3 linked regions of the Daphnia pulex genome follow. Each later gene encodes a partner of the first gene's protein in a complex. Links are inferred from orthologs where the notes say so. Each region holds a gene or a part of one and is shown on either strand. Other genes may lie near its edges. The genes, in order: transportin-3-like, cleavage and polyadenylation specificity factor subunit 6-like and serine/arginine-rich splicing factor 1-like.

Evidence for each region.
Region 2: the proteins of transportin-3-like (region 1) and cleavage and polyadenylation specificity factor subunit 6-like are in contact, whole or in part, in a crystal structure (PDB 6GX9), measured with the Homo sapiens proteins. The link is inferred for Daphnia pulex from reciprocal best matches to the Homo sapiens genes TNPO3 and CPSF6. Residues at the interface, in NP_036602.1 of Homo sapiens: Arg620, Asn656, Arg657, Glu660, Arg661, Arg664, Arg667, Phe668, Arg671, Ser698, Cys699, Tyr702, Ile706, Asp709, Asp747, Asp750, Asp751, Arg754, Arg758, Gln761, Cys793, Arg797; in NP_008938.2 of Homo sapiens: Tyr521, Arg522, Glu523, Arg524, Ser525, Glu527, Arg528.
Region 3: the proteins of transportin-3-like (region 1) and serine/arginine-rich splicing factor 1-like are in contact, whole or in part, in a crystal structure (PDB 4C0O), measured with the Homo sapiens proteins. The link is inferred for Daphnia pulex from reciprocal best matches to the Homo sapiens genes TNPO3 and SRSF1. Residues at the interface, in NP_036602.1 of Homo sapiens: His155, Arg157, Arg160, Thr167, Tyr254, Ile256, Glu257, Glu304, Glu340, Ile341, Phe343, Asn344, Tyr347, Arg348, Glu351, His352, Lys355, Thr356, Arg620, Asn656, Glu660, Arg661, Arg664, Arg667, Phe668, Arg671, Ser698, Cys699, Tyr702, Ile706; in NP_008855.1 of Homo sapiens: Ser116, Arg117, Arg118, Ser133, Trp134, Gln135, Lys138, Asp139, Arg142, Glu143, Gly145, Asp146, Cys148, Tyr149, Ala150, Asp151, Val152, Tyr153, Arg154, Val172, Arg173, Asp176, Asn177, Arg181, His183, Tyr189, Ile190, Arg191, Arg198, Pro200.

The regions. Positions count from the first base shown.
Region 1 is NC_060023.1:7,819,565-7,826,988, forward strand, and holds transportin-3-like, read right to left. Parts: upstream 4,315-7,424; 5' UTR 4,154-4,314; coding exon 4,037-4,153; intron 3,971-4,036; coding exon 3,767-3,970; intron 3,701-3,766; coding exon 3,458-3,700; intron 3,400-3,457; coding exon 3,244-3,399; intron 3,175-3,243; coding exon 2,963-3,174; intron 2,903-2,962; coding exon 2,746-2,902; intron 2,684-2,745; coding exon 2,537-2,683; intron 2,477-2,536; coding exon 2,274-2,476; intron 2,209-2,273; coding exon 2,069-2,208; intron 2,005-2,068; coding exon 1,712-2,004; intron 1,632-1,711; coding exon 1,350-1,631; intron 1,285-1,349; coding exon 916-1,284; intron 855-915; coding exon 687-854; intron 618-686; coding exon 505-617; intron 422-504; coding exon 361-421; 3' UTR 62-360; downstream 1-61. UniProt on the Homo sapiens protein: Importin, which transports target proteins into the nucleus. Specifically mediates the nuclear import of splicing factor serine/arginine (SR) proteins, such as RBM4, SFRS1 and SFRS2, by recognizing phosphorylated SR domains.
Region 2 is NC_060024.1:13,143,414-13,150,679, reverse strand, and holds cleavage and polyadenylation specificity factor subunit 6-like, read right to left. Parts: upstream 4,424-7,266; 5' UTR 4,346-4,423; coding exon 4,286-4,345; intron 4,087-4,285; coding exon 3,850-4,086; exon of another isoform or gene 3,209-3,849; coding exon of another isoform or gene 3,041-3,208; intron 2,891-3,040; coding exon 2,663-2,890; intron 2,407-2,662; coding exon 1,761-2,406; intron 1,687-1,760; coding exon 1,534-1,686; intron 1,467-1,533; coding exon 1,018-1,466; 3' UTR 780-1,017; downstream 1-779. Other genes in the region: RNA-binding protein 1-like, read left to right, coding at 1-47, 124-175; uncharacterized protein LOC124200042, read right to left, coding at 6,481-6,866, 6,938-7,266. UniProt on the Homo sapiens protein: Component of the cleavage factor Im (CFIm) complex that functions as an activator of the pre-mRNA 3'-end cleavage and polyadenylation processing required for the maturation of pre-mRNA into functional mRNAs.
Region 3 is NC_060024.1:10,559,378-10,566,252, reverse strand, and holds serine/arginine-rich splicing factor 1-like, read left to right. Parts: upstream 1-2,197; 5' UTR 2,198-2,379; coding exon 2,380-2,549; intron 2,550-2,605; coding exon 2,606-2,710; intron 2,711-2,837; coding exon 2,838-2,971; intron 2,972-3,032; coding exon 3,033-3,205; intron 3,206-3,263; coding exon 3,264-3,306; intron 3,307-3,367; coding exon 3,368-3,531; 3' UTR 3,532-4,006; downstream 4,007-6,875. Other genes in the region: U4/U6 small nuclear ribonucleoprotein Prp3-like, read left to right, coding at 5,368-6,875. UniProt on the Homo sapiens protein: Plays a role in preventing exon skipping, ensuring the accuracy of splicing and regulating alternative splicing.

The sequences.
Region 1 (7,424 bases):
TAATCTGGCGTTCCATAAAAGGCGAAATTTGTCTTGTTTTTTTGTTTTGGATACATGAAAATTTCCATGAAATGTGTATTAGTAGATTTCCAGCTTCATTGTGCGATGGTCGACGATGTTTGAGAGGAGCGAGGGAGGGAAACTGCGTCTGGATGTGTTCAGGTGCACTATGACATTCCCTTGATTATATTCCCAAATGTACAAGGGTGGGAGGAGGATTTAGCCGAAGTAAAAGTTAAATGAGTAGGAGCCAAAAAAAATTAACCAAATTAACAACCAACTCATTAATTGAATTTTAGGAAGAAGCGTTTAGTAGCTTGAAAAACATTATCGAATGAGTCATCAACAAAAGTCAGGTTTTCACCGATAAAGTCTGGAGAAATCACGCAATGCATTTGACAATTCCAACGACGTTTCCGCCCTGAATCAAAATAAGAAATATAGAATTATTAATAGAAGAAACAAAATCATTATTTGGCGGATGGACAATTTAAAAAAAGTTACCTGATAACTTTTTGGCGGAAATCTTGTAGCTGCTCGGGCCTGACGGCGACACATCCGGCAGGTGACTGACGAGGTAGATTCTCCAGCGTTTGCTCCATCCAGCTGGAAATGCTCTGTTCCATGAAATGAATATTGATTAGCAAACGCGGATAAAGTTGTTGGACGAAAAGAATTGGGCTCACCTGTCGATCGACTAGCATGAATTCGAGCAGAACGTCTGCCACATTGGGTAATGAACACGTTGACAACGAGAATATCGAGGCGGTGATTAGAGTGCTGATGAGCATCTGACCTTTAGGGCGAAGCACCGTTGACAGGAGTTGGTCACGGAGTTCAAATGAGAGTTTCTCCTGTATTAAATAAAAAACGTCAAGTTTTCATCCGACCAAGTTATCTAATATTACGGCAAACCTCTCGAGCCCGCGTGGTGTGGATCAACTCGGTAAGAAACTGCATAACGCTGGCATTGGCGTCTCGGTGATCCAGTGCAGCCGCCTGCATGGCACAATCGAAAATGGCTGGTAACGCCGGGCTATGGAGGAATGCGACTGGATTGCGCTGAAGGAAGCGAGCGAATAGACGGAAAAGGTCATCGACTGTGTCCGGATTGTGGCAGAAACCTTGCTGTTCTTGCAACAGCTGGAAGGCGCGCGGTAACAGCGCTTCCAGCATCGAAATGAGACCGCCGATGCATTCGTTTTCCGAACCGTATTCGTCCACTAGGATACTTGCTAAATAGAGGAAGCAACTATGATGATGAGCATTGTACAGACGCACCATCTAAAAGGAAAAGAACGAGAAATTAATCTATGCACGCTACCATGAAGGATGACAGAAAATCAAACCTGAGTAACGAGCGGTTGCAATAGAGGAGCAGACTGGTGGCCAATCAATCGTAGAGCGAATCGGAGGCACCTACAGCAGCGCTCCATCACTCTTCTGTCAGTTTGGAATTTATCCAACGTCATGGACAAACACGGCCAGGTAAAAGTAATGGCTGACTGGCATGGATGCTGTTCGTTCTTTTTTATACTGATATTTAAATTACGGAACACTGAGGCTAGACGATCCAACCAGTATACCGGATCACTGCTAGTTTTGGCGACGATTTTCGACTGACTTTCCACCTTTGAAAGCAAAATTGCCAAAGTTAAAAAAATATTTGTCGATTATCGTCGGTAATCAGTAAAACTGCAAGGTATATTACCTGGGAAATTCTTGTTAATTCATCGACATGAATCTTGCAAAGCTGGTGCAGAGCATCGCTAATCTGATGGTCGGGTAATCGACTGCAGACTTTGGTAACCCCTTTGACTACTCGCACGGCCGTCTCCGTTGGAATGGGTAACGTGACCAATGCACTCACTACTTGCAGTAGAATATCGAAATGAGATTTCAAATGATCTCGACAAATGCTGGTGATGGCCTCCAACGAATTTGAAGCGGCCAAAGCCAACGACGGATCATTGATGGAACGTAGCACACAATGAAGCACAGGCTCTACAAAATCGGGAGTGATAATTGAATAATAATTTAGCAAAATCAAAGAAGAAAAAAGGCTCACCGACAACGGCAGGATGTTTATCCATCCAATCACCCAGTTCACCCAGAAGAAGCAGTGTTGTAAAACGCACTGCTGCATGGGCGCTTTCTGGTACTAAAAGTAACGACTCAATCACACTCTGCACAACCTCATTCTCGTCACTGCAATGGAAGAATTGAATTGTTAAATGGCCTTAGCCGGAGTAATTAAATCCAACGAGAATTACGGCAAAATGTTTTTGGCTACAGCTTGCATGATAAATAGTGCCGACTCTGTCACCTCCCACGGAAGATTGTTTTGGCCATGAATGCTGTAGAAACAATGTTTAAAAACGGAAGCCGAGCCGACGATAAAGACCACGTCTTTGACCAGTTCAGACACTCGCGAACGAAAGCCAGCGAAATCATCGCCGTCTTCCAGCACACCTTCCTGTTTATAAAATAAGATGCTAACTTATTTTTGCTACTTGTAAAACTAATTGATTCTTACGTGATCCGGTTCCATTTGACAGTGACGACATACAGCACCAATCAGTCGTTCGATATAAGGTTTGAACTTGACGGTTCGATCGTCGTCATTGGCGTGGTAAAGATCTTCAGATAACTTGTACCAAAATCCAAACGTAATTTCAGCAACCTTGTAAAAACATTGAAAATAATGAAATATATTAATAATAAAACCAGAGTGATATAATTTACCTCGTAGTCATGATGACCTACGCAGGTCAGCACTAGATCCAATAAACCAAACAAATTAGATGCGTTCGTCGTTCCGTTGTTGTTTTTGGTCGACTCCAACATCCGATGAAGCAAGGCTTCGGCTATTTCAGTGAACACACGACAATAGTTCAACGCTCTAAAAATAGACTGCAATGAGAACACCAAGTCATGGCCAGGCAAATCAATAAAGACATACTTTTCCGTATCTTCCTCCGCAACAGCTAAATGGTAGGCAGGTTCAAGGTTTTTAATACTTTGGACAAGAGAATCTTCAAGAGTACGAAGCTCGTTCAAGGTAGAGGTCAATTGACCATTCTGAGCGGTTGCATCTTCATTTTCTTGATCTGCAACTACTTGAAGCAAAGCACAAACGGCATCACATGCTGCTTCGTGAAGCAATGGAGTGCTCTGTGTTGTAAACATAGATTTAGAAATGATGACAGAATTGATAAGGGACGAATCAAATGTAACTCTTACATGGTGAGAAGAGAGAGTGGCAAATACATGAACTAATGTGGCACAACTTGTTAATTGGTGTAACGTAACAGCTTGCAAATGCACCCAGGATGAAAAACATCGTAACAATCGCACACCAATCAAACGGTCTGAAGATGGAATGGTCAAACAGGAATCCTGTAAAAATTGAAAGTTAGGAACTGTTTTCAAGCTAAACTTGAACTAAATAGCCAACCAAGAGATTCAAAACATTTTGTGTTGAGGCAGCAAAAAGTTTGAGAACTTCAGATCTCCTGTTTGCTCCAAGCCTTAAAGTTCTGGAGCCCATTTCTTCAGGTAACACAGTCAAAACTTCCAACAAGGGCCAAAGGTGAGTGGTTTCAAAATTGTTTTTTGGTCCAAACGTCTGAATCAGATCCTGGATTGGGGTATTCCAACTTGTCATTTGTAATAACAAATCAGCTAATGCCAAACACAGCTGGGGAGGAAAATGGAAAAGTTATTATTTTTTTTACATATTGCACCTGGAAATTATTTCAATTACCTGAGTAACAATCACAGTATTAGTGTGCTCATTTATCTGCCTCAAATGATCGAGCATGGAGTCTCGCAATGAACTGTGTGCTTCAGGAGGCAGCTCGTGGAATGCAAACTGAATTTTCGTCCTTAATGTCTGAGCCCCAAAGTAGCATGATTCCATGTCTTTTTTTACATGCAATAAATGATCGGCTATCTTCCATGCAAATATCTAGTCAAAGCCATTATGTTACTAATTCTTGGAAAAAAACCAACGAAAAATGTGATGTGTACGAACCGATTTTTGTAGATCCCCCAGCCATTGCGAGGCTCTTTCTTTACTTACAGGATCGGGATTATGGTATAGGGCGTTAAGGGCGTCATACACAACTTCTATGGCCGGGAGCTCGTTCATGATTATTTCAATGTTTTTTCAATTGTTATACCCTTTAATCCAAGACGATAAAAAATGTTGTAATGTGAGCAAGCCGGGAAGTTGTTGCAGAGGAGTACTACTAATCAAAAAGTCAAACACAGTAACAGACCCGAAATTGACAGAGAAATGTCTGCTAGGCTAAAACAAAAATTGATCAACAACGATGCCGGTTTCACTAATCCGACGACGGTCGGCTGCGGGGTAATAAAGCGCACACACACACACGACAAATGGGGCACGGGCCATGTACCGTACGGACTGGGACTGACCGGCGCACAGAGTAATATTTCCAACGTCCCAGAGAATTCCCACCTGCAAAAATATGTGTTCATATGCACTTGATCAATCAGAGAAGGAATTACTTATCTTTTAGATGACACATTTCTCTTAATAATTATTAACGACAACGGGAAATAAGAAACAGATTGCTCTTCTCGGAAAGTCGAATGAACGGTCCGACTGAAACATATATGATTGCACCAAGTAAACAAATATTTAAAAAACCTGGTGTATAAATGATGATTACGAATAAAATGTATGAAGAAATAGTTTTTAAAAAAAGTCCTCGGGGTAATAATAAATTGTTGAACTATGCGCGCCAATTTTTAATCTTTCAGAAGTTTATTGAAGTAAAGTTATACTTATTGGTCTCCACCTCCATCAAAGCGAGACAGAATGTTACCTTGAAAAGCTCATTAGGGCAAATAGCTCCAGGTGATTTATGAGACAAGATAAAAGCTTGAAGCAACGTGATAGTTGGCGAATTTGCGGTAGCGCAATGTAGAGTGAGTACAGGGGAAAGCGCACATACGTCACAAAGTCAATTTAGAAAATTAAACGTGGATGCAGGGCTCCAAAATTATTAATACAGGATTTTAAGACGAACATTCTTGCTGATGATGACGAATCGCATTCCTGAATTCTTAGCATAAACGAGTTTTTATTTCAAGCATTAGATTTTTAATTTTTTATGAGATTCGAAATAGGATTCATTTCATAAGCGAATAAGACAGAAGAATTATTGAAAAAAACGACTCGATTTTTCTCTCCAAATTTGGATGCGTGCGGGTCTGCGGGAAAGTAGAAGTTGTTCGAAAATGTTGAAGTTTGCCAATTGGCCACCGTTGGCGCACTGTCGCTTTTTTTTCAATTGCGGAAACATTGCATGAGCAATGATGCAATGAGGGTTATGATTCATAACCCAGAAACACCAAAACCTACATTATAAATGCAAATAAAAAGGTGATATTTAATTGTATTCAGTTTGAAAATAATTGAACAATATTTGTTAATTCTGAAACTATGACTTTAATCCAATATGAAACGTTTAAAAGAAGAAGTTTAATTAAAAAGCTAGGAAAAACATAGGAAAATAACTCGTGCGAAGGTGCTGGGATTCCCCTGCCGGCATATAAGGAGGCGACGCCATCAACGACAATATACTTAAACTCGCCATAGTAGTTTATTCCTTCATAATTTCTCACTGCAAAGAAGCTTTCAATCGGTCTTTATCATGATTTCCCCAATTGATTTGATTGCTACTTTAGTTATGTGGATTGGATTGTGTTTTGTCAGTCATTGTACTGAACTTACCAGATCGCAAACAGTTGTGGATACTAAAAAGAGTATTCGTGTTGAACCTGACGTGTTGGGAACCCGAAAGGGTACCGCCATTACTACCAGACCATCAATTACCAACAACAACGACAGCTATCAAGAAAATAACAACAACTTGATAAAGAAGCTTGCAGAAAAAAGCAATGTTGCTGCCGAAAATAAGATCCTGAAAGTCAAACTGGCTAAACTGAAGTTTGAACTAGCGCTCTCCGAGAACAACAATCGGAAGCTCAAAAACGCACTGGATGAGTTGGCAGCCTCTAATAAAAGTGCCATGGAAGCAAGAATACTATTCCTTGAAGAGGAAAATATGCGTTTAATTGACAACCAAACAAAGTCAAAACTTATTATCGAACATAAAGACCGTGTTCTAGAAGCCATTTCTTTGCTTTCATCCGCTGACAATATCGGAGATGAAATGGACAATTTGTGCGATAACAACCTGATTGGAACCGACGAAAAGAAAACGGAAGTCCTTCGACTGCTGGGTGAAAACACATCAGAGAAAACCATCACTCAAGTAACACCAGATGTTGGATGTGAGGAACCCAATATGCAACCATCGAACGACTTGGCAATTTGTCCTGCAACAGCTCAATCTACCGACGAGTATCCCAACGAAGTATTTTTCCAGTGGACATCCAGCTCGGATACCAACTTGGAACCATTGGTCGCTTCCGAATATATAATTTTATTCAACCTACCACTTTGGCTTCACGGTAACGATTACCTCCATCACTTTGAGCTACATGTTGGCAAAGTGGCGAAATACATCATGTTTGCCGACGAACAAGGACAATACATAGGCAACATGGCGTTTTTCTTCTTTGACCCATCGGACACAAGGCGGGCGTATAAGAAATACGATGGTATGCTCTCGGAAGGCAACAGGATCGAAGTCGCTTACTTTATCAATGAACAAAGATCGTACCAGAAGGAAGAGGAGCCGGTTCCAACTATTTCTCCTACACCGGTTGAAGTTTCCCAACCTACCGATGTAACTTCAGCCGATGAACATGATCAGCAGACAGCATCAACCGACTCCGTGGACGATGTCATATCACCACCGGTGGCATGGCCATCTTTCGTCGAAAACGAGAAAGCAGCCGATGAGTACATTCTGTTAAGTAAATTGCCGCCTTCCGTTAACGTGGCCGATATTGTTGAGCGCCTTCAGCTCATCATTGGCGAAGTGGCCCATTACACCATGTTTGCCGACGAAACAGGACAATATGCCGAAAGCATGGCGGTTGTCTTTGTCCATCCATCAGACGCGAGGCGAGCCTATAAAACCTGCGATGGTTCTCTGTATTTTCTGGTGAACATAAACCTTTGGCATAAGGTAGAAGTTGCATATTACATCAATGGCCAACGATCGTACCAGAAGGAAGAGGAGCTAGTTCCTACAGCAACGGATGGCGTTTGTGTTGCCGATTTGATTAATGCGTCTCCAACCATCGACCACGCACCTGAAATAAATGTTGTAACACCTGAAATAATTGTACCTGAAGCTTTGGCCGTCCACCAGCAAGAGACTTTGCCAGGAGCAACTACTGAAGAAATACATCAGTCGACTCACTTGGATGATCCTGTCGTCGACAAGAACCTGGTGGAAGAATCTCTTTCGTGCGAG
Region 2 (7,266 bases), on another chromosome or scaffold:
CGCGACAGGAAAGCCTCTCGATCAGTCTCTCGCGACCGAGTTCGCAGGTAAGATCCTTAACTACTGACATTTTCTTCCTGTTGCAAAAGCCATCAAAACAAACTTTTCTTTTTGTTATTGCAGGGACTCACGCAGTCGTTCACGTTCCCCCAGCTACAGCAAGTATGCCGATTAATTGATTCCGGTCTATCACATACACACACACACACTTACCTGTTGTGCAGATAATAATTTTCAAAGCAGAAGCTCCTCCACTTTTTCTCTTTTCTCCTTGTCGCTGTGAAAAAAAACCGTCATTCACCTCCTCCCCTACTATGATTCCCCTCCTATTTGGCATCCATTTTTTTGTGTGTGACCAGCAGTGGCGTCAGCTGCAATCCTGGGCTTTTCATCATTTTTTTTAAATTGCAAAACAAACGGACTTGTATCACATGGGCGCATTTTGTTGTGTGAAAGAGTTGCGGGCTTAAAAATCGTGCTCATTCCACATGCGCAATACACACTTGAGGATTTCCCCCCTTCTATAAATCATCATCAACCTCACATCGCCTTTCCATTTCAACACGCATCCGAAAAATCTTGAATTTGATGTGAATGGAGACGAACAAAATCGAAGATGTCGGGCGCAACCCACTATTGATTTTCGTCGGGACTCTACTACCGACTGATAAACCGCCCAGTGAATTCAACATCCATCACATCTTTTGTAATCAATTTCTACATTTCATGGACTTAAATACTAATGTTTCGAGAAATCAACCGATGACGTACAAAAGTAGTGAATGAAATTGAAAATGTTTATTGTTTCAAGAAAGTTTTTAGGGACTTGGGAGGGAGTGACACACCGAAGCAAATTATTAAACGAAATAAAAAAAATCGTGGTTCATACGTGTGTTTAAATGCTACCAAGTCGCGGTAAATACGCGAGGGGAGAAAGATATTCTGATTAATGACGATAATTAAAGTTGTCAATCGTTTTGTTTGTTTCATTTCTCATCCGTATATGATGCTCGTCTTCTAGTGTCTCATGCTCCGGGATTCCCTGTCGTCACGAGAACGTAGTTCACGTTCCCGATCCATCCCTGGATCGCCGCCTCGTCCGCCTCGCATACTTCCGCCTCCACCATCTCTTTCACGGTCCTTGTCTCGATCAGATCCTCCACCGCGACCACTGCCACCACCTCCTCCGCCGCCGTAATCTCCTCGCCTGGACTCTTCGTGCGAAGAGTAACGTTCTTCGTAATTTCGCGGGTTACGCACTTCTCGGTAGTCTCGCTCGTGACTTCGAGAGCGGTCTCGGTCACGCTCTCTCTCCCTTGGACGTTCAACGTAGTCCCTTTCACGCTCGCGTTCCCTTTCTCTATCCCTTTCACGGTCTCTGTCCCGGTCCCGTTCACTGGGCCTCTCGCGCTCCCGACTGCGTGAACGTCTTCTCCTCCTTTCGCGATCTCTCGACCGGGATCGTTCTACAATCAAAACAATTTCACGTTAAGAATGTTTTTTAAAAAAGAAGAAACTAGATGATGCGGGTACCTCTTCGTGATCCGTAGCTCTTGGCCTCAATGCCGTGCAACGTATCTTGCAAGGAAGACACCAGGATCTTGCAGCGCTCATCATGCGCCACTTTTGACTGTTTGATGAGCGAAATGGCCGTTACTAGCGTCTCGATTGCACTGGCGTAATCACCTGATTGGATGAAGAAGACAGATAAGTTACTACTGATTTTGGTTCAATGAGCAAAATGAAGCTTGAAGACATACCAGTTGAGGCATCCGCAACAGCTCGAGCAATGGCGGAAGAAGAAACTGTTCGGTTGCGGCCCATCACTTCCTCGAATTCGGCTTCACTGACGTTTGGCGGCTCATTGGTGTGCGGTGGCCGATTATCAGTGATGAATGGTGGTGGTGGGCCGATCGGTGGAGGGAATCCAGGCGGAGGTGCCGCAACGGGCGGAGGGAAGAATGCCGGATTGACGTGAGGAGCTGGCTGCTGGACTATGTTGGCCCATTCTGGCCGGCCGTTGCCAGGAGGCGGAATACGATGAGGATTCATATCCATTCCGGGCGGAGGCCCACGCATCCCCATGCCGGGTGGTGGACCTCGCGGTACGACCGTAGGTGACATGACCGGATGTGGAAGAAGGTGATGCGTCGGTGGCGGAACGGGAATGCCTCCGGGTGTCGGTGGACCACGAACTGAAGGTGGCGGAGGTAATGAGAGACTCGTTAAAGGTGGGGGTCCGGATGAAGAAGCTGACGGACCCATCATCATCCTAGGAGGAGGCCCATTCATTGGAGGAGGTCCGAGTAATCCGACTGTTAGCGACGGAACTCCGGATGGAGCAGAACCGGTACTCCGCGGAGGACTTGATTGTCTAGATGGGCGGCTCTTTGACTGCGCCTCAAACTGAATAAGAAAAATATTTTGACATTAAAAGAAATGCATAAAACATAAATGTTTAAAGATGTTCCAGTCAAGTCGTCCGTTAAGTGTTAAATTGTACGACACTTGTAGGTTTACAGACTTGATTGGTTTTAATGTTGCATTACACTTTCCCACCTTTGAACTGTATTCAATTTAGACAGTCAATGGTTCTACTGGTATGCACTTGGAAAAAATTCGTCTAGCAGCACTAAACGATTAAGAAATGTTTTGATCTTACCTGATTGAGCGCCTGTTTGGATGTGAAGGTGACGATGGGCGTCTGTCCGTGCAGATCCTTTTTGGGAAGTTTGTCCATGCATTGACGAGCGCTGATCTCGGAACCGACGGTGATGACGCAGAAGCCTTTCGACTGGCCGTTGGCTCGGTTTTCATGAAATCGCACCTCCACCAGGTCTTGGACGCCAATCGCGCTGATTGCATTCTCCACGTCGGCATCTGTGGTCCACTGTATTGTCCAACAACCACAAAATTGATGTTGTGTCGTTGTCGTTTGTTGTTGTTTTGGATTGGGTTTGTTTGTTTAAAAAACAAAAGAAAGAAAGATAATATAGAAAAACAAAGCATGAAAATCGTTTTCTGCCGATTACATCCATACCATAATTGTATTGGTCAAATAAAAGATATTTTGATCGGGCACCTTTACACAGCCGCGCAATTTGTAGTGAGTGTATGCCAGAGTGCAGTTTCTTTTTCTTGTCATCATCAAAGATGTTCCTGCACATGGGCGCCAGCGGTTGTTATAATACGTGGCTGAGATTGTCATATCAAGCGATATCCCACCCCAAACTAACAATTCATTCGACTCAAATATCGTTTGGCAGAGATGACGATTTCAGAGATCAAAGGAGAAAAAAAAACATGGGGCGATGGATGTGGCACATCAGTTACGCAAAACTGATTGACAAGAATTTTTTTTCTGGGGAGTTCTATGGAGGACCGCATCCTGAGAAACGTAATACAACACAACTCAAAAACCTTCAGTCAAAGGTTTTGATAGGGGCTAATGATAAGTTTTGATGGACTACTTATGATAGATCAATAGATGATAAAAAAAATTATTTAAAAAGTGCAGATACACAGCGTACAACATGCATGGTCGTTCATGTCCCTGAATTGGTATGCCTTCTCACATACACATACATACATCAACATTCATGATGCCCTTCTTTCAATTTTGAATGCCATCATACAGTTTTATCACACATCATAGCCCCTCCATCATAACAACATGGTGGCTAGGTTGATATCACAGACTTAACAATTTGATTAATGTCGATAAAATAAAAATAAACAATTGGGAACTATCTGGGAATGATTCGATATACAGCACAATTACTTTTTAGATAAATAAAACGACACTTTGAACAATTGGTTTTATAAATGGAAAGGTTTGAATAATCGTACCCACGTCAGATTGCCCACGTACAACTGGATCCTTTTGGATTGTGATGAGCTGTTGCTGCCATGAAGCTGAAGTGGAGTTCCGATCAATGAAGATGAACCATGTAGAGAGCTGGATGTGATATGAGAAGATAGCGTTGAGATCTTCTCCTTTCCATTTAGTTCCTGCTTGATGCTCGTTGAAGATGTCAAGACGTCATCATACAAGTCAACGCCATCGCCAATTTGTTCGTCACCATCCTGTAATCAGTTAAGAAAATAAGTTAAATGATGCTGTCTCATCTAATAACGGTAAACAGCAAAGACGCCACGCCAAACACTGCGGTGGGATAACAACAGAAAATGAACATAAATGTACATAAATAAGTTATTGATAAACGAACTACAGAATATTAACATCGCATTCTTCCGGTAACTATAAATAAGTACGTAAACTTACACCATGAAAATCATCACCAAGATCGTCGGCATACAAGTCAATATCAGGCACGTCAGCCATTTTATGAAGTTTAGTCTATGGCCAACGACCACAGTCTTGAACTTCTTCTCTGTTTCCACCAGTGCTGCCACTTCTGAAATAGCAAAGTCGTGCAGGGTTGCCTAAAAAGTCCCGAAAATCCGTTTTTTTTTTTTTTAAAAATCCTGCACTTTATCTTGCACGATTTTCTTCAAAATCCCGCAAAAATCTTGCAAAAAAAAAAAACCCGCATAAATCCGACACGATCCAACATAATTTCCTAGTTATCCTAGTATATTTGAAGTCTTTTCTTGTCAGACAGGTAAAACATTATTTTGATACTGTTGACCGACAGTTAAAAGCTACACGGAAGCTCGGTAGGATGCTTATTTTAGCCCTATTTCAGCACTTTAAGATTACTTAACACGTTACGCTTTTTGGTAAGAATTATAAACAAACTGAAAAGCAAAATTTCATGCTTCTTCGAAGTGTAACATGCTTACAAAAAAATAAGTATGTTTATAAAAATGAAATTAAGTATGTTTACAGAACAAGTACTTTTAGCAACACACTTATCATAGATTTAACGTACTTAAAGTTTTAAAAAGTATGTTGATGCTTCTTAAGTATGTTAAATAAAAAAGAACAAGTCCTTTAAGCAACACAATTATCATAAACTTAACGTATTTACTTTATTTATAAACGTACTACCCAATGTTTTCTCTGCTGCAACGAAAAAATGACAGAGTCCATTTCATTAACCATTAATCAAGCCCCTTTGTGGCACCTTCGAGATTTTATAAGTCTCCTTTCGTTTTTTTTCTTGATTAGGAAATTTAAAAATTAAGTTTTCGTATTGTTTTCTCTGTTTGTCATTCTATACCTCACTGTTGCACCTCTTGTGTCGAATAAAATCAGAGGAAAGGAAATAAATTTGGCAGGGCCAGTGTTTCGTGGTTGTTATTTTGTCCGTGGCCTTGGTTAGTTCTTCATTTAGATTGATGTTTTCTTAGTACTGTTGATATCACATTATTCTTAGTATAACCTTGTGTTTTTCTTTTTTTCTTGATGTTTTACAGTCAGATATTCAGTGTTGATTCAGATTCTTAGTTGGAAAGTTGTTGTTTCAAATTGGCTGCTGTTGAATATTTGTCTGTTAGTTGGTGCATCAGTTTTGTGAGAAGAATTTTTTTAAAGTGAGTTTTTTGTCAGATATGAATAGTGATTAGTGATATGAATTATTGTGATGAGTTTAGCTAATGTTGTGTGAATTATTATGTGTTACAATTTAATGAAGTGAAAGCAATGAAGATTGTTTTTTTTATCGAAGTGAAATGTTGAAATGTGATAAACATTAAATGAAAGCTGTGGTGAGTCAATCTATTTTTTTTCATTTATATGGAATGTTTTATGTAATGAATTGCAGAGATAGGAATGATATAAATGTTTGAATGATTGATGCTTGTTGTATTTTTTTTGCGGAAGATGGTGTTGGCAATTAATAATTTTTATTGACAAAATTTTTTTTGTAATCTTGCTCGAATGGTATGATTGAATCGATTTAATGGATTGTGAAGAAATATATTGAAATAAGAAATTTTTTGTTTGTTATTGGAAGGTTTTTTGAAGGTCGGTTAATATTATTGTCATTTATTAGGATTCTTAGATTTTTTTTATTGTAAGGGGATATGATACATTAGAGATAAGTAGATAGGGCACTGAAAATTGCGATTGATAGTTTTCGTCGTGACACCTAGCGGCTAATGTTTGTATTTCATTTATAGTATATAAATTCTAAGTTTTTTAATTGAGAAGGAAAGTAGTGGATTGGAATAAGGAGAGTTGCTGTATGTTACATTGTCAATGTACATTCCTCATTTTAAAAAAATATGTTTGTATCTAGTCACTTCAGTGAATTCGTTGACAGAATTCTTTCAGTTATCAGGTCATGGACGTGGAATGAAAAATGGAGTTGAAGCATTTTCTTTTTTCATTTTATCTGACTGATGAAAAAGTTTATATTTTATAAGATGACATTCGGGTTCAATGAATGTTTCGTACATGGTGATGTTTTTCAAATGGTTTATTGATTTATTTTATGTGACGAAAACTTATTAATGCATACAGTAGTGAGCGTTATTAATATGAGTTTTGAATGGGTACAGTACAGTATTTTATTAGTTGAAGTAGATTACCATTCCAATGATACTCAGAATACATAGAATGAACATAAAGAGAAATAGACATTCTACTGAAGACAGATGTCTGATGTTGAATGTACTGTAAAGTGACGATGATGATGAAGTTGTAGACGATTCGCTGCGTGCAATAGGTCTAGTGATGATGACTTGAGAAAGGGAAGTATTGTCTTCGTTGATTTCTGAAATTGTTTCACATCTCAGGGTAGGAAATTCCATTTCAATTGAAGACGAGGTAGAAGTGTGCGGTAATGGGGCTGTTGGTTGACTGGAAGTAGAGGCGCCTACGTTGATTGTATCGTGCGTTTTCATTTTTTTCGGTGGTGCTGGCGCCTTTTTAGTTTTGGTGCTTTTTGAGGGAGGTTCTGTAAAAAAAGGAAAAAAACAATTCATTTGTTATAAAGTTATTAGAAATTGATTCGGCAGTTTGAAATACTTGTTGTTGGTGTATCCTTTTTTTTGCGTTTAGTAGTCAGCGGCGTGTCGAGCAATTCAGATGGGATGAGTCTGGCATCCCAATCTCCGTGCGCATTGTAACCTTTCATCCAAGTGATGAGTTTTTTGGATGGTTGTAGCCCGTTGAGGAACTTTAAATTGTAGCTACTGGGTTGAAGAGGCATGATGCGGAGATCTTGAGCTCGTCGAACGCGAGAGACAGCCACGTAGAATCCGGGGAAAGTGATTTGCGGCATGAAGGGTCTATGGTTGAGGTCGACGATTAATTTGGAGCAGGTTTGTCCTTGTATCTTATGAAGAGTGACGGAA
Region 3 (6,875 bases), on another chromosome or scaffold:
CGAGTCTGAAGCATTTTCAATAATGTACTGTGAAATATTGAGGGGTGGGCAGAGCTAGATGGCAAAACAAAAAAAAATATGAGCGATGTGAGGTTGGGGGTGGAGCAAGAGACCAGTAGGGGTTACATCATGGGGATGGATCACTTTTGTGAGTGTAAAACCTTGTAAAATGTGTATTTGTTGAATGATTAGGATCTAGTTGGTTACCCTAACCAGACTTGAAGAGTAAGATTGCCACCTGCCCCAAGTAGAAATAGATGAAATGTCTGGTTTCATGAGTGACGTAAGAACCAAAGTTCCGCCCAACTATGCAATGCCAAGTGGGATTGTACTTTTTGTCAAACTCTTTTTTTATGTATGCAGCAATATCCTATGAGAAAAACGTATTATGAATCAACCAGCGAAAGCAAACAACTTTGTTCCTTTAACACATTGTTTTTAATGTTTGAAATATCCAATTACTCAAGTATTTTGACTGACCTTTTCAATATTGTACTTTTCCAAGGCTTGTGTTGCACAGTCTACTGCATCCTGCTGCATTTCCTCCGACATATCCGCATTTTTAATAACAGCTTTTCGATCGGCCATTCTTTTAAAATTTTGTCAAAACTTCTGCAGGAGGAGATGAAAAGTGGGAATGAATCAGACCTGTTGCGTTATAGGGCCACTTTGAGTGCTAAAATGATGAATAAATCAATACTTGTTTTAAAGGACCAGCCTTAAATCTTTTCTTTTTTTCAAAAAACCTAGAAGTTTCTACTGCACAGACCTCGGCAACAGTAAATCAACTATAGAGTCAAGCACACTCAGAACTGACAACGTTAAATTCAAGATCTTTCTGACCGGCGCAGATCTGCAGACGGTTAAGTTCTTCTTCAATGATATTAACAAAGGCCTGTTACCAGCAACTTACATGAACTCTGATGTTCGTAAGTCAAGTTGTGTCCAAAGCGCCACCAGTGGACTGATTCATTCAAACAACATACTAACATACTATCATGATAATATGGTTACAATTTGGTTAGTAAAATACAAGGTTAACAACATTTGATTTCTCATTTATTTTTCATATTGCATTCATGAGGGAAAAACGTTTTTGACTGAATGAATGTTTTCCGTTAGAGGGCAGTAGTAACCGTAGCAAAAAAATGCGGGACTAAAATTGACAGTCAATTGCCTATCGCACAAATACCTTGCTCCAACGTATTAAGGCTTTAAGTATCGGTAGAAGTAAATGATAGAACCAAGTGATTCTAACGATAGTTACAAAAGGCGCGTTTTTTTTAAACAGGGAAATTATTGAAAGTCTATCAACTATAATTAACAATAATAATTATTCACGTTTCTCCTTGCTAAAATTTTTAATTAAAATGAAATGTGTGACGTCAACATTTATAAGCGTTTCCGTTTGCTGCTGTTAGAATACTTTTTTAAATATCACATTTCCGGGCGGAACGGACAAAACAAAACATTGTGAAATATAATAAGGAACACAAAAGAAGAACATAAATACTTTTTTTGTTATTATTATTTCAAATCTAAGTTGTCTTATCCCTTATGGCACGCTCAACTATTTTTCAGACTTACAATTTTCAGAGCTATTGCTTATGGCAAGCCAACTCAAAATTTCACAGGAAAAAAGGAATAAATGCACCACTGAAAAATTAAAGATAGGTTATTGTTGTAACCAATGCCGGTTTATTTATACCAGTTCTTGAAAGGAGATAACCCCCAGAGCAAATGACCTTGTCACAAAGTTGATCGTTACGTCAATGCGGTTGAAAAGAACTCGACCTTGATGTACGATTTTATACCAGGTATAGATTGCACGCGAACGTCGTTACCAAGAGCCCAACAAAAATGTCGCGCAATAGGCTCTGCATGCAAGGGTCATTCAGTTAATTGCACCAGAACAAAGAAGTACTCAAGATAACAAGCATAATTTTGAGATAACTGAGTTAACCATTAATAGCTGTGGTTCGGTCTTCGGTTTGCGCTTACTAGAGTGCCACCGTGTTCACTTTGAAACCTAATTATTCACAAAGCCACTAATATGAACTTATTTCAACTTAATTTTCATCCGCGATTTATTTGCTAGATTTATAGGCAAACAAAAAAAATTAAAATCACAAAAATAGTAACTATAAAAAAAAGACAAAAAATAAAAATAAAAGCGTTATCAACTTGCTGATCTGGCAATGCTCCATGGCTGACGCCATTACCCGTTCAGAAAAATTTACGGCATTTTTCTGTTTGACAAGGGGCGCCTAACACCCAAGACTACTGTGACGTCTTTTTTCGAAAAAGCAAATTCCGTATTCGAATTCGATTTAACATACACATTTGGCAACTAACCGTAAGTGACAAGAAACAGTCAGTATGTCAAGTTCTCGCAACAATGAAGCCAGAATCTACGTCGGTAACTTGCCACCCGACATTCGCACTAAGGACATTGAAGACTTATTCTACAAATTTGGAAAGATTGCATACATTGATTTAAAGAACCGACGAGGACCTCCTTTTGCTTTTGTTGAATTTGAAGATCCCAGGTATGTTGCATGGTTATATTTGTTTCCTTGTTTAGTTAATTACAAGCACTTTATAGGGATGCTGAGGATGCTGTGCATGCTCGTGATGGCTATGACTATGATGGATATCGTTTGAGAGTGGAATTTCCAAGAGGATCACAGAATTCTGGTGGTGGACACAGGTCAGTTTTTCTATCCTCACATACCATATTTGTAATTTAGTTGTGATTGTTTTATTTTGTTGGTAAAAGAAATTATGACAAACAAGTAAAAATCCTAATTTAATTTTTCATAATATTTATTTTTTAGGGGTAGTGGTGGTCGAAGTGGAGGAAGAGGTGGTGATGGAGGTAGAGGAGGGGGTGATGGTGGGGGTAGCAATGGTGGAGGCAGGAGTCGAGGGCCACCAGCAAGAAGAACAAATTACAGAGTCATTGTAACTGGTGAGTTAAACATTTAGTAAAGTTTTAAACCATCATTTAAAGCCACTTTTGATATTCACAGGTCTTCCTCCTACTGGATCATGGCAAGATTTAAAAGATCACATGAGAGAAGCTGGTGATGTGTGTTATGCTGATACCTATAAAGATGGAACTGGAATGGTTGAATTCCTTCGCTACGAGGATATGAAATACGCCATCAAGAAATTAGATGACTCAAGATTCCGTTCACATGAGGTATATTTTCTACAAATCTTGATAAACAAAGTTTTCAAAATTATTCGTACGTTTACAGGGAGAAGTATCATATGTGCGCGTTAAGGAAGATAGCGGAGACGGTAAGTTATATTTCAATTTTTGTTTAAAGTAAATATTGACCTTGAATTTTTTCTTCTATAGGTCGCAGCGGCGGAACTCGTGATCGATCGCGATCTTATTCTCCAGCCGGTGGTGGCGGCAAAACACGTGGAAGTCGCGGCTCCCCCAGCTATTCCCCCGTTCGTCGTGGTGGTTCATATTCCCGTTCGCGCTCACGCTCACCTCGTTCCAGATCACGATCTTAAAAAAGTTATGGAAACGAGAAAAAGGCAAAACTAAACAAAAAGACAAAAGTTGTGCGATGTGGACAACAAAAAGCTTAAGGATTGGAAGGACTGGAGGAGGAAAGGGGTCTTTGGTATTGTCTCCATGGTTCATACTATATTTTCAAAATTCTTAGATGAATAGCAAATCTTTTAAATTGCAAAAACCAATTTTTTTTTTTTTTACAACAAGCTACATCAAAGATTTCAATTTTTTATGAGAAACTCAAAATATGTTTCTTGGGTTATGATTTTGGCATTTGCAATTATTGCTACTAATCATTCAGTTTCTTCTCGACGTACACGTAATCCTTTTTGGTTTCGAATACCCTCAGAGCTCCCCGATTCCAACCAACTAATTTTTTTTTTTCCGTGAGCAACCTCATCCTTTCCTTTTTCCCCTCCCTCTTGTAATACACAAAATAGCTGTGCGTCGAATAAACATGATTCTCATTTTCTTCCCCTTTCTATTTGTAGCGTACACAGCAAGGTTATTGCTCTCTCTGGATGGGATTGTTGTGGGATTTGGATTGCATTGGATTTGGATTTCATTGGAATGGATTTGGATGGATGCATTGTGGATTGATAGGTGACAGGATCTGGAGGATATGCTGGAAACAGCAACCGCTTCTCCTTTGTCTACAACCGTCGTGGTGAATCGCTGTGGACTTGCCTTGTCAGGACCCGTTTATTTTAAAGAGATCTGTTGGACTCCGGCACTTTGGAATTGAGCCCGACCTAAGACAAGAGTTAACTTAGGATTGCTTACCCTTTGATTTTCAGGCACTTTTTTCATCATCATACAGAGAAAGAAGAAACCGACGGATGACGACAAAATGGAAATAATACATGCCTTGCAAATGGTGATATTTCCTTGGAGTACAAAGAAATTCCTTCGATGTTTACCGATACTTCTGTTTTCGGCACATTGGAAACAGTATTACCATTTTAATGACAATTTTTTTATGTATGATACGATTTAATACAACCAGTGAAATGCTTTTGAAAAAAAAATTATGACCAAAATTATTCTGTTCTCTAGACTAAAACAAAAATTTGATGACGTGTTTAAAATACAAAGTTGCTTTTCGTCTTAAACACAGAAAGAACAATTAAAACAATTCGCATTACGATTACTCACCATAGAAACTTAACGTAGAAACTGTTTCAGAGAAAAAAAATAGGTTTTTGTTTAGTTTTGATTTCTTTCTAAATTTATATCTCCTTGTCCTTGGAACCAAAAATGAGAAACAAAAATGCTTTGAACTTGAGCGCTTGCTTCTTCTTTTTCTTTTTACGAAAGTCCCAGTACTTCCTTAAGATTCCTCTAGATGGCGTCTTCGCGTTGCTTGGGTAACCAAAAACGTATAAAAACGTACAAATTTTCCCCCAAAATAGTGTAATTACACATTCACTTTGAGCATACTCAAAAAAACATATAGTTTGAAATTATATATTTGTACAGCGTTTTGAGTTTATCATCTGAATTTCTACGATTTTTCTGTGCATCAATAGGCTCTTATCGGTTGTTAACCGGTCTCTAAACAGAGCAAGTTTAGACCTGCAGTTACGAACTACAGTGGAAGATTGAAGCATTGGTAAGAATAATTTTGTTTTTTCTTCAATAAACCGATGATTTTATTTCACAATACATTCGTCATTTGTCATAGATTAAACATTGTTAGAAGATATTTTCAGTACGTTGAAAATTGTCACTATAATAACATTGTAGCAGAATGTTTCTCTTCAGTAAACAACAACTTTTCTTTCTTTTTTTTTAGGCATCTGTGATATAGGTTTTTTGGGGTATTTCCAATCATGGCTACTACAAGCATAAAAAGACCTAAAGAAGAAGATTCACTCGATGGACCTGGTCGAGAAGCAAAAAAGTTAAAATCACGATTCCAGGATGACAGCAATGGAGATGGAAAGAGTGACCAGGATACTACTGAACAACTCTCTTCTTCTCAGATTAGAGAAATGATGATGAATGCTCAAAAGATGATTGAGGAAAGGAAACGATCTCTCAATCAACCGCCAGCTCTTCTCAAGACTACCCCAGTGCTCTCATCACTTCCAACACCTGTAGCTCCTAAAGCCGTTCCCCCATCTTCAATGGATGAGCGTGCCAGAAAGATTGCTGAACTACAGGCTCAAATTCAGTCAAAACTAGCCACCTCCACTTTAGCCACATTGAACTTGAGTCTTCCTAAAACAGCCAGTGTCCCTGCATCAACAGGGGAAGGGTCTAATAATGAGCCGAAACCTGGCCCACTTATTCTCAACGCTGATGGAAGGACAGTTGATGCGACTGGTAAAGAGATTGCCTTGGCCCAATACACACCAACTCTCAAGGCAAACATTCGTGCCAAAAAACGCGAGGTGCTCAAGACTCACATGGGCAAAGGATCTCAACAACAAAGCGAGGAAGCGGGAAATTTGACGGAAAGTCGCTTCTTCGATCCACGTGTTGCAGCCAAATCCTCCGTGAGAACACGCAGAACCTTCCACTTTCACGAGCAGGGCAAATTTCAGCAAGTGGCATCTCGAATGCGAATGAAGGCTCAGTTAGACAAATTGCAAAGCGAAATCTCTCAAATTGCCCGTAAGACTGGCATCAATTCAGTCACTGCACTTGCTCTAGTTGCCCCACGAGTTGGCGATCGTCAGGAGGAGGAGGACATTGATTTGGAATGGTGGGACTCGGTCATCTTGCAAACACGAAGCTACGAAGGCGAAGACGGACAGCCCAATTTACGCCAGGAGACGATTACCAATTTAATCGAACATCCCATCCAAATGCGTGCTCCCACCGACCCGCTGGCCTTGCCCTATTTGCCCGTCTTTCTCACCGAGAAAGAGCGCAAGAAGTTGCGCCGCACCACTCGACGTGAAAATTGGAAGGAGAAACAAGAAAATATCCGTTTGGGACTGGAACCGCCACCTCAAGCAAAAGTTCGAATTTCTAATTTGATGCGCGTGTTGGGCAACGAAGCCATCCAGGATCCAACCAAAATTGAAGCTCACGTCCGCGAGCAAATGGCCAAACGACTTCAAAATCACCAGGAGGCAAATGCCTCTCGAAAGTTGACGGCTGACCAGCGACGCGAAAAGAAGGAGAAAAAGCTCCAAGAAGACACGACAACGAGCGGTGTGCATGTGGCGATTTACCGGATCAAGGATTTGTCCAATTTATCCAAGAAATTCAAAATCGAGACCAATGCCAAGCAGCTTTACATGACGGGATGCGCAGTCATTTTCAAGGACGTTAACGTCGTTATAGTCGAAGGAGGCCCTAAACAGCAGAAGAAGTACAAACGCTTGAT